2 linked regions of the Callithrix jacchus genome follow. The protein of the gene in region 1 purifies or fractionates together with the protein of each later gene. This does not show direct contact. Links are inferred from orthologs where the notes say so. Each region holds a gene or a part of one and is shown on either strand. Other genes may lie near its edges. The genes, in order: KCNA5 and KCNAB2.

Evidence for each region.
Region 2: the proteins of KCNA5 (region 1) and KCNAB2 purify together in Homo sapiens (co-immunoprecipitation; 3 studies listed by BioGRID and IntAct, counting the BioPlex papers as one, with this or other methods). This does not show direct contact. The link is inferred for Callithrix jacchus from reciprocal best matches to the Homo sapiens genes KCNA5 and KCNAB2.

Annotation. Positions count from the first base shown.
Region 1 is NC_133510.1:18,649,628-18,653,916, reverse strand, and holds KCNA5 (potassium voltage-gated channel subfamily A member 5), read right to left. Parts: upstream 2,959-4,289; 5' UTR 2,843-2,958; coding exon 1,034-2,842; 3' UTR 231-1,033; downstream 1-230. UniProt on the Homo sapiens protein: Voltage-gated potassium channel that mediates transmembrane potassium transport in excitable membranes. Forms tetrameric potassium-selective channels through which potassium ions pass in accordance with their electrochemical gradient.
Region 2 is NC_133508.1:43,885,775-43,890,026, reverse strand, and holds the start of KCNAB2 (voltage-gated potassium channel subunit beta-2), read right to left. Parts: upstream 2,840-4,252; 5' UTR 2,746-2,839; intron 2,281-2,745; exon of another isoform or gene 2,213-2,280; intron 2,163-2,212; exon of another isoform or gene 2,041-2,162; coding exon of another isoform or gene 1,924-2,040; exon of another isoform or gene 1,789-1,923; intron 1-1,788.

The sequences.
Region 1 (4,289 bases):
AGCATGCCACAGGGGCGTCCATGCCATAAACAGCCTGGAAAGCAGTTCACCCACCATTGTCTATGAGGCACCAAGGGGTGCATTGGAAAGATGTCGCCGAGCGAATCATGAGCTTCCCAAGTTTCCTCTGACCCCAGTCAATGCGTTTGCTCTGATTTCAAAACCAGAAACAGCCAGTGACAGACTGTTTTTAAATTTCAGAACTGTATCAGCTGCAGAAAAACTAACACTTGCCTCAACAAAGTAACCTTTTATTTCCTGGGATACAAATAAAGAGAATAAATTATCAGAAGTATTCCTCCAATATCATTAAAATGCTTTTTGAAGAAAGTTACAAGAGTTGTTTAAGGCGCACAGAAAAAGTCAGATTTGCCTTTCCTCCAGAACATTCTCTGCCCTAGACACAAAGCACCAATACCACATCCCAGAAAAATCAGAGGCTTGGACACACAAGAACCAGAACAGCTCATACCAAGATCTCTGGCTCAAATATAAGTATCACAGAGAAACATCAGGTCAACTCTCTCTTCCGTAAATACAACATGTATCTTGAAAGCATATCCAAAATATCTCTATCTGAACTACAGTACAAAAAGCCACTTACCAGCCATAAAAATAATATTTTCCCCTATACTCAAATATAATCATATGTAAAGCAAACTTGGAACACATGGATGGAGGGGTTACATAATCTCTTGGGATCTGGGCTATTTAGAGTCATTTTTGTTTGGGTTATCCCTCTGCTGGGTATAGGCTACAAATACATCCATCTCACAGCACTCGCCATTTCAACAGCTCCTGCGTCATGGAACGTGGTACTTTTTAAAAATAGGCGACCCTTGGGTGTCATGGAAAGAAGAGGGAAAATGGGGGGATGGAGGGAGGGAGGAAGGGAGGAAGGAGAGAAGTGAAAGGAGAGGGTAGACTGAGGTTACAGTGTGGCTTCCAATACTCTGCGGTGTAATGTAGATACCCATGTTCAGCAAGCCTCCCATTCCCTACCCCACTGCCACCAGTCTGCCTGAATCTCCATTTACAAATCTGTTTCCCGGCTGGCATCCAGGCAGAGGGCATACAGGGACCTCCGCAAGTCCACGTTGCTCTTGGCCTTGACGTTACACTTCTCCAGGGGACAGCTGCCCCTTTGGGCGTTGTCTGCATTCTCCAGGGTCACCCCAGCCTTGCAGAAGGATCCCCTGCTCCCGCTGACCTTCCGCTGGACTCCTCTGTCCAGCCCCGGCCCCTGGCTCTGAATGCCCTGCTCTTCCTTAAGGACTGCCGGCTCCTCGTGGTCCGTCTCCCGGTGGTAGAAGTAGTTGAAGTTAGAGACGATGACGGGCACAGGTAGGGCGATGGTGAGGACCCCGGCGATGGCACACAGCGAGCCCACGATCTTGCCCCCCACAGTGATGGGCCTCATGTCCCCGTAGCCCACAGTGGTCATGGTGACCACTGCCCACCAGAAGGCATCAGGGATGCTGGAGAAGTGGGTCCCCTGGTTGTCAGCCTCCGCGAAGTAGACGGCACTGGAGAATAGGATGACCCCGATGAAGAGGAAGAAGATGAGCAGCCCCAGCTCCCTCATGGAGGCCTGCAAGGTCTTGCCCAAGATCTGCAGCCCCTTGGAGTGGCGGGAGAGCTTGAAGATGCGGAACACCCGGACCAGGCGGATGACTCTGAGGATGGCCAGGGACATGGCCTGCTGCCCATTCTGGCCGCCTCCTCCGCCCCCCGGCTGCTGCTCTGCCAGCTCGGTGCCCAGGGTGATGAAGTAGGGGAAGATGGCCACCACGTCGATGATGTTCATGATGTTCCGGGAGAACCCTGCCTTACTAGGGCAAGCGAAGAAGCGCACGAGCAGCTCGAAGGTGAACCAGATGACGCACGTGGTCTCCACGATGAAGAACGGGTCGGCCAGGGTCCTGGGCAGGAGTGGTGCCACTGTGGGGCCAGAGGGCTGACCCACAACCCCACTGCCGTTGGCCCCAGAGGCGGGCGCGGGAGGCTGGTGGGGCGCCGGTGGGTGGCGGAGCAGCTCGCGTTCATCCCTGAACTCGGGCAGGGTCTCCAAGCAGAAGGTGATGATGGAGATGAGGATGACCAAGACCGAGACGATGGCGATGGCCCGCGCGGACCCAGAGCTCTCCGGATACTCGAAGATAAGCCACACCTGGCGCTGGAACTCGTTGCGAGGCAGGGGCTTCTCCTCTTCTTTAATGAAGCCCTCATCCTCGCGGAAGCGCTCCATGGCCTCGTCCCCCAGCTGGTAGAAGCGGATCTCGTCCGCGAACACGTCCAGTGAGACGTTGACCGGCCTCCGCAGGCGGCCCCCCGACTGGTAGTAGTACAGGATGCCATCGAAGCTGGGCCGGTTGCGGTCGAAGAAGTACTCGTTCCTCAGGGGGTCGAAGTAGCGCAGGCGCTTGGCGGGGTCCCCCAGGAGGGTGTTGGGGAACTGCGCCAGGGTGCCCAGCTGCGTCTCGAAGCGCAGCCCGGAGATGTTGATGTGGACGCGCTGGTGGTGCAGAGCCGCAGCGCCCGGAGTCTGTTCCTCCTCCGCGCCCAGGCCGGGGTCGCCTTCTTCCTCTTCGTCCTCCGGAGGCGGCCGCCGAGGCTGTGGCGGCTCCTCGGGCAGCCGAGGCAACGGCCGCGCTCCCGGATCAGCGCCTCTCTGCGCGCCGCGTCCCCTTGGCGCCGGCTCCTTGGGCCCATCGCTGAGCCCAGCCGTCGGGGGACACTGGAGCTCTCCCCCTGTGGCCTGGCCGAAGCCTGCCCGGGCCTCATCGCCTCCTCTGACCGTCATGGCCCCGCCGTTCTCCAGGGGCACCAGGGCGATCTCCATGGCGCGGGGGCAGGGGGCATGCTGCGCCCCAGCTGACCGGCTCCCGCGCCCCCTACTCACGCTCCGCTGGCGCCTCGCTTCGGGCTCCGCTCTCGCGGTTGGCCGGCCCCCTCTCTGGGGCGAGCTGGGGTTGCTGGCGCGATCCCCTCGCTTGGTCCTGACGTCAAGAAGCCGCTGCCCTGCTCTCTGCCTCTCTCTCTCTTCTGGCAGCCGGTTACCAAGCAGCCGAAAAGCCTCCTTCCAGCAGATGCAACCTTCAGCCGCCCCTCTTTGGCTGCGCCGCGCTTGGCCTCCACCCTGGGCGCCTCCCCCGCCTCCTCCCCCGCCTCCCCCTCCTCCCGCTTCCCCTCCCCCCCGCCTCCCCCCCCCCCCCCCGCCCGCTTCCCCAGCCTGGTCTCGTGGCACCGAGTGTCTCCCGGGAGGGCGCAGCTGGGGCCCCTAGCAAGGGAAAGGAGGGGCCGAGAAGGGTGCAGCCCCGCGGAGGGAGGGAAGGAGTGGGGAGGATGGAGGAACAGGTTGTACCGAGAGCGCCGAAATTCCCAGGGCAACCAGATGAGAATAGCTCTGGATTTCAGTTTCACCTGGGAACCCGCTGGAAGCCGAGTGGACTCCAGAAGGAACGAAGTGCCTTGGGTTAAAAGGACAGGCTTTGAGCTGAGTCGGAGTACGAGAGACAGAGACGGGAGACAACAGTCCTTTTTACTCTGGAGAGATAACGGTGTTTCTTTGGGAAGAATTGCAGACGGGAGGGGGCGTGGAGTAGTTACGGACCTTGAAATACATATTATCAATGGAGAAGCACCTCTCTTCCCGTCTTCCTACAGATCCACAAAAAGGTATGACGGGGTTGGAACCTTGCAGCGTCCCCATACCCTGCCCTGTTTCTAGTATGGACCCAGTGGCAGCCCAGGCAGGCAGCCTAGTCAAGAGATGAGCTGTCTGGTCTCAAACCAGCAGAACCCTTCCACCCCCTGCAACGAATTCCATTTGCAAAAGCCACAACAGGGCAGGAGGGGAGAGATTTTTACAATTCTGGTGAGGGCCGATCCTGTCTGGTGAACCTTGGAGCTAGCAACTGCATCAAGGTCCATGAAGGGGGCTGAGGGTGGAGGTGGTGTATGAGAGGGAGCCAGGGAGATACTGCAATCTCCAAGGCTGGAGAATTCCCAAGAGTGGAATAATAACAACCAGTACTTACTTGGCTCTTATTATGCACCAGCCCGTTCTCAGCACTTTAAAATAATGTCTCTGGGTATTCCTACAGCAACCTATTTTGTAAATACTATCATCATCACCATTTTATAAACGAAGAAACTGAGGCACAAAGAAATTGACAGACTCACCCAGGCTCATGCGGGTAGAAAGTGATGACGCTGGAACTCAAATTCAGAGTTTGGCCCTCATCCCCTATACTTCATCCCTCTTCAGAAATGCATAATGCCCTTTT
Region 2 (4,252 bases), on another chromosome or scaffold:
GCCAGGCAAGAGTGAGTCACTGAGAAATCTCCACGGTAGTGGCACCTCCCGTTCCCAACAGCCCCTCCAGCAACTGGGACACACCTGAGGGCACTGGCTGTTACCATGAACGTCAGCAATGCCTCCAAGTGGCCTTCCCAAGAGAGAGCCGGTCATGTCCTGGTGTGCTAGCTTCCCCCAGCTCGGATAGCCAAGATATGAACTGGGTTCAAATAAGTAGGAAATAGGGGGTCCAACCCAGCTCTGTCACTGCCGCTGTGTGACCCTGGAGAAGCCTCTGTCCTCTGGGTTTCCATTTAGTCCTTTGGCAGCAAGGATGACCGGCTGTTGGGTGGCCACGACCCAAGTCCTCCTGGTGCTGAGAAGGGGACTGGTGGGAGGCATGGGTCTATGGCCTTAGACACCTCTGGCATCAAACCTTCTCGAATACCGCTCCCAGTGGCCCACTGTCCTGCCTCCTTATTCAGGGACCCCAGAAAAACATTCTCTCTGGGAACTCTAACAACGTGACAATCACAGAGAATTTAGCCAAGAACCAAACACATGCCACTCCTGGCCAGAGTCCCTGGAAATGGAAGCATGTTACCATGGCAGAGCACCAACACACAGGAAGGTCTGGGGGAGGTCCCTCCCTCCAAGCCCAGGCCGGAAACTGCCAAATCAAAACCGTGTGGCGCTCACTTCCTCCTGAATCATTTGGGTCTTAGAAGATTGCTGAAAAAGGAAAGAAAGTGAGCAAGCCTTCTCTAGCTGGCCATCCCGTGGCACCCTCGGTCTTTCCAGTTCCCTAGCATGGTGGCCCATGTCCCATCTCCTGGGTGTGATGGCTTCTGTGCACCCTGCTTCCCATCCAGCTCTGTATCCAGACTAAGATGGTTGTGAACCAAGAAACACATGACAAGGGTTTCACACTTTTTACGACACCACCAGCCCCAGTGCCCGGCTCAGTCCCCAGGTGCCGATTAGCACTGACAAAGCATGTGCTGACTGGCGCAGGGAAAAAAAATGGCCCTGGGTATGGACAGGGAAGCCTCTACCATGCTGCTTTCCAGGCAGAGATGTGCTGCATGCAGCCCAACACCGTCAGTGCCATCGAGGCCGAGTGTGGCTTTGGAGAGCTGTCTCCAGAAAGAATGGCAGGACCTGGGGGACCAAGTGCATTCTTACGGCCCCACACTGTCAAATCACAGGGCCAGGAGCTGCACAGGGTTCTGGGGGAGACAGAGCCACCAGGCAAGAATCAGGTGGGCAGATGCGACTCTTCACACATAGGTCCCCAAACCCTGCAACGCGGGGCCTGAATGCGGCTTCCTTAGCAAAGCAGGAGCTTACTCTTGGCACTGGGGGGAAGGGGAGGGAGGAGGCTGGCGTTTTTGAGGGGGAGAAGTTGCAGAGAAAGAAGAAATCCTGAAGCGACAGACAGTGGGACAGCTGTGGCCTGAACTTGGTGTTCCTGCTCCTCGGATGTGGATGTATTAATTTCCATAAATGCTAATAGTCCATTTCCCCAATAGCTATTACTTATGCCATCTCCGCTTGGACACAGTTCAACACAGGGCAGACAAATGAAAGGGAGGAAAAGGCCATCCCCATTGGCTGTCCCCAGCTCCTCAGCCCCCTCCCAACCAGGCAGCTCAGGTCCGGTTCCTAAGGTAGCCCTCTAACTGCAGGGTCAAGACCCCCTGCCTTCAGTTTCGTGGCCAGGTCCCTATCACTACAGGAAGCAAGAAAGTTACCAACCCCAAAAATGCTGAATCACAAAGTGAGGCTGAGCAGGAAAGTGGGGGCGGGGAGGGAGGGAGATGGTGGCCAGGGAGGAAGGGTGTTAAGGGGCTTCCCACCTGGAGCACCCTGGGATGCTGCAGGCAAAGCACAGCCCCTGCAGGAGGCCCCAGGACAAATGGCAGGAGGAGCAACGCCAGGATGCGCCTGGATGGGGGGGTGGGAAAGTGGGCAGGTACCCCGACTGCTGCCACTGCTAGTGCCGCAGGACGTGGTGCAGCAGCGGGGTCTTTGCATCCCTCCTGGGAGCAGCAGCAGGTAGGGAAGTGCTTTGTGCCAAGGCCTGGCAGGAGGGAGAAGCTTAAGATAGTAGGGGCTCAAGGGTGTAGACAGCTCGAGGAACGGGTGCAGGAAGCAGGGTCACAGTCCTGGGGAGCCAGGTAAGGTGATGAGAGCGTGCCCGCGGGGAGAGGTCGGAGGGGCTGGGAGCAGAATGGGAGGGAGGGACGATGGAGAAAAGGACCGGAGCGATACAGGGACAGGCTGCGAGAACGATGGGTGAGCCTTGAGGAGCAACCGGGGGTAGAGATGGGGAGGACCGGGACCAGCAGCGCCCCGGTGGGGCTGCGCGAAGGCCGGGAGAGGGGATGGGAGGAGGAAGGAGGGAAGGGGAGGGCGAGGCTGCGGGGACCGGAGCGGGCCGAGACGGGGAAGAGGTGCACCGGGGTGAAGGAGAGGGACGGCGGCAGGGGCAGGGGTCTGGGATGCGAGCTGAAGGGTCGGGCGGGAGGACCGCGAAGGAAAGGGAGGAAGGAATGGGGGAAGGGAGACGACGGAGAAGGAGGTGAGGAGGCTGAGGAGGAGGTGAGATGGAGGCGGAGGCAGGGACGCAGGGCCGGGGAAGAGGAGATGGAGACGGCACCGCGGCGCCTGCCGCAGCGCGAGCCTCGTGGGTGCCCGCTGCCGCCGTCCCGGCGCAGGTCGGGGGAAAGCGCGCCCCGCCGGGGTCTCCCCCGTACTCACCTGGGGGCTCCAGCTCCGGATCCTGAGCCCCACGCCGGATCTTCCTTCCCGCCCTGCCCCTGCGACTTTAGCGCCCCCGAATCCCGCTCGCTCCGGCAGGTTCCGCCAGCAGCATCTTCACCTCGTGGGACGCCCGGGGCCACGCCTCTTCCAGCTTCGAATTGGCTGCTGTTCACGCCAGTCACATTACCATTGGTTGCAGGGTCGCCGGACATGCAAATCAGGACGGGCCCGCCGCCGCACCGATTGGCTGGCGCTCGCGAAGTCTAGCCCTAGACTTGGGCTCTGATTGGCTCCGCGGCCCTGACGGCAAAAGTGACGCGAGGCGGGTTTTCGGCCTGAAGTGCGCGGCGCGCGCAGCCTTCCAAGGCTCCTCCCGCGGGTGGCAGCGGACGGGGCGCGCCCCTCGGCCAGTTTTCGGTCCTTAAGGCCTCCGGCTGCGTTGAGCACCGGCTGCCGGGCCTTTGGGTCTGTCGACTGGGGACTCTCTCAAAAGCGTGGGTTCCGCGGCCTCCGGCGTGGCCGCGGCGGGCCGGTCTCTTAGGTAACGCGGCCCGCGGCGGGCGGAACCATGTGGGCCAACGCCACGGGGGAGGTTGGACGCGGCCTCGAGGCGCACCGGGCTGCAGTGTCTGCCGGAGCCTCGGGGTTCTGGGGTAGGATGGTCCGTGCCGTTCTGTGTGGGGGCCGGGTGCCTGGAGTCTGGCGGCGGCGCTCGGCGAGGCCTGTCCCCGCGTCAGTCGCAGGCTTCCCCCCTCGTCGGGACACTTGGTGCGGCCCGGGCCGCCGGTTGCAGTTGGGCTACGTGGATTCCCCCTCTGCCCCTGCCCTTTGCCCCCTGCCCCCTGCCTCCTGCCCCCTCTGCAGCCCTTCGGCTGAAGGAACTGTGGTGCCGCTGACCTGGTTCTTGGGTCTGCGTACATCCTTCCCCGGCCGGAGCCCGCGGACCCCACCTTCGCCTCCGTTTCCCTCCTGCTGTACCCGGCTGTTGCTCTGCGGCCCTCGGGCGTGCCCGCGAGGCTCTCTTCTGTCCGGGGCCACCTCGGCCTTCCGCGCCCCCTTCCTGCCCTGGGATCTCCCGGCCGACCGGACCCGGAACACGACACCCGCTCCCGCGTGCCCTTCCCCACACGTGCAGGCCCCCCTGCTGCCCGAGATTCCTCATGTCTGTCTTCTTAGGTGACCGCTGCTTTTTGTCTCCATATGTCGCCATGTGTGGCTTTGGTGGACGTCTGCGAAGGAAATCCAGCCTCTCACGTGTGTGCAGTTGGCAAAAAGAGAGCGTTTCTGATGACCGTGGGTAGCGTCACCTGGTTCTGACTTAGGGCTCTGTTCGTTGCAGCTCCCCTGTGCAGTTTCCATAGGTTACTGTCTTTTTTGTGTGTGCTAATTTGTGTCCTTTTTCTATACGTTCTATGGGGGCAGCGAGCTTGTCTGCTGTGTTCAAGACCGTTTCTCCAGGGCTCAGGGTAGGTGCTGGAAGAATGTTCGTGAATGAGGGAATTCC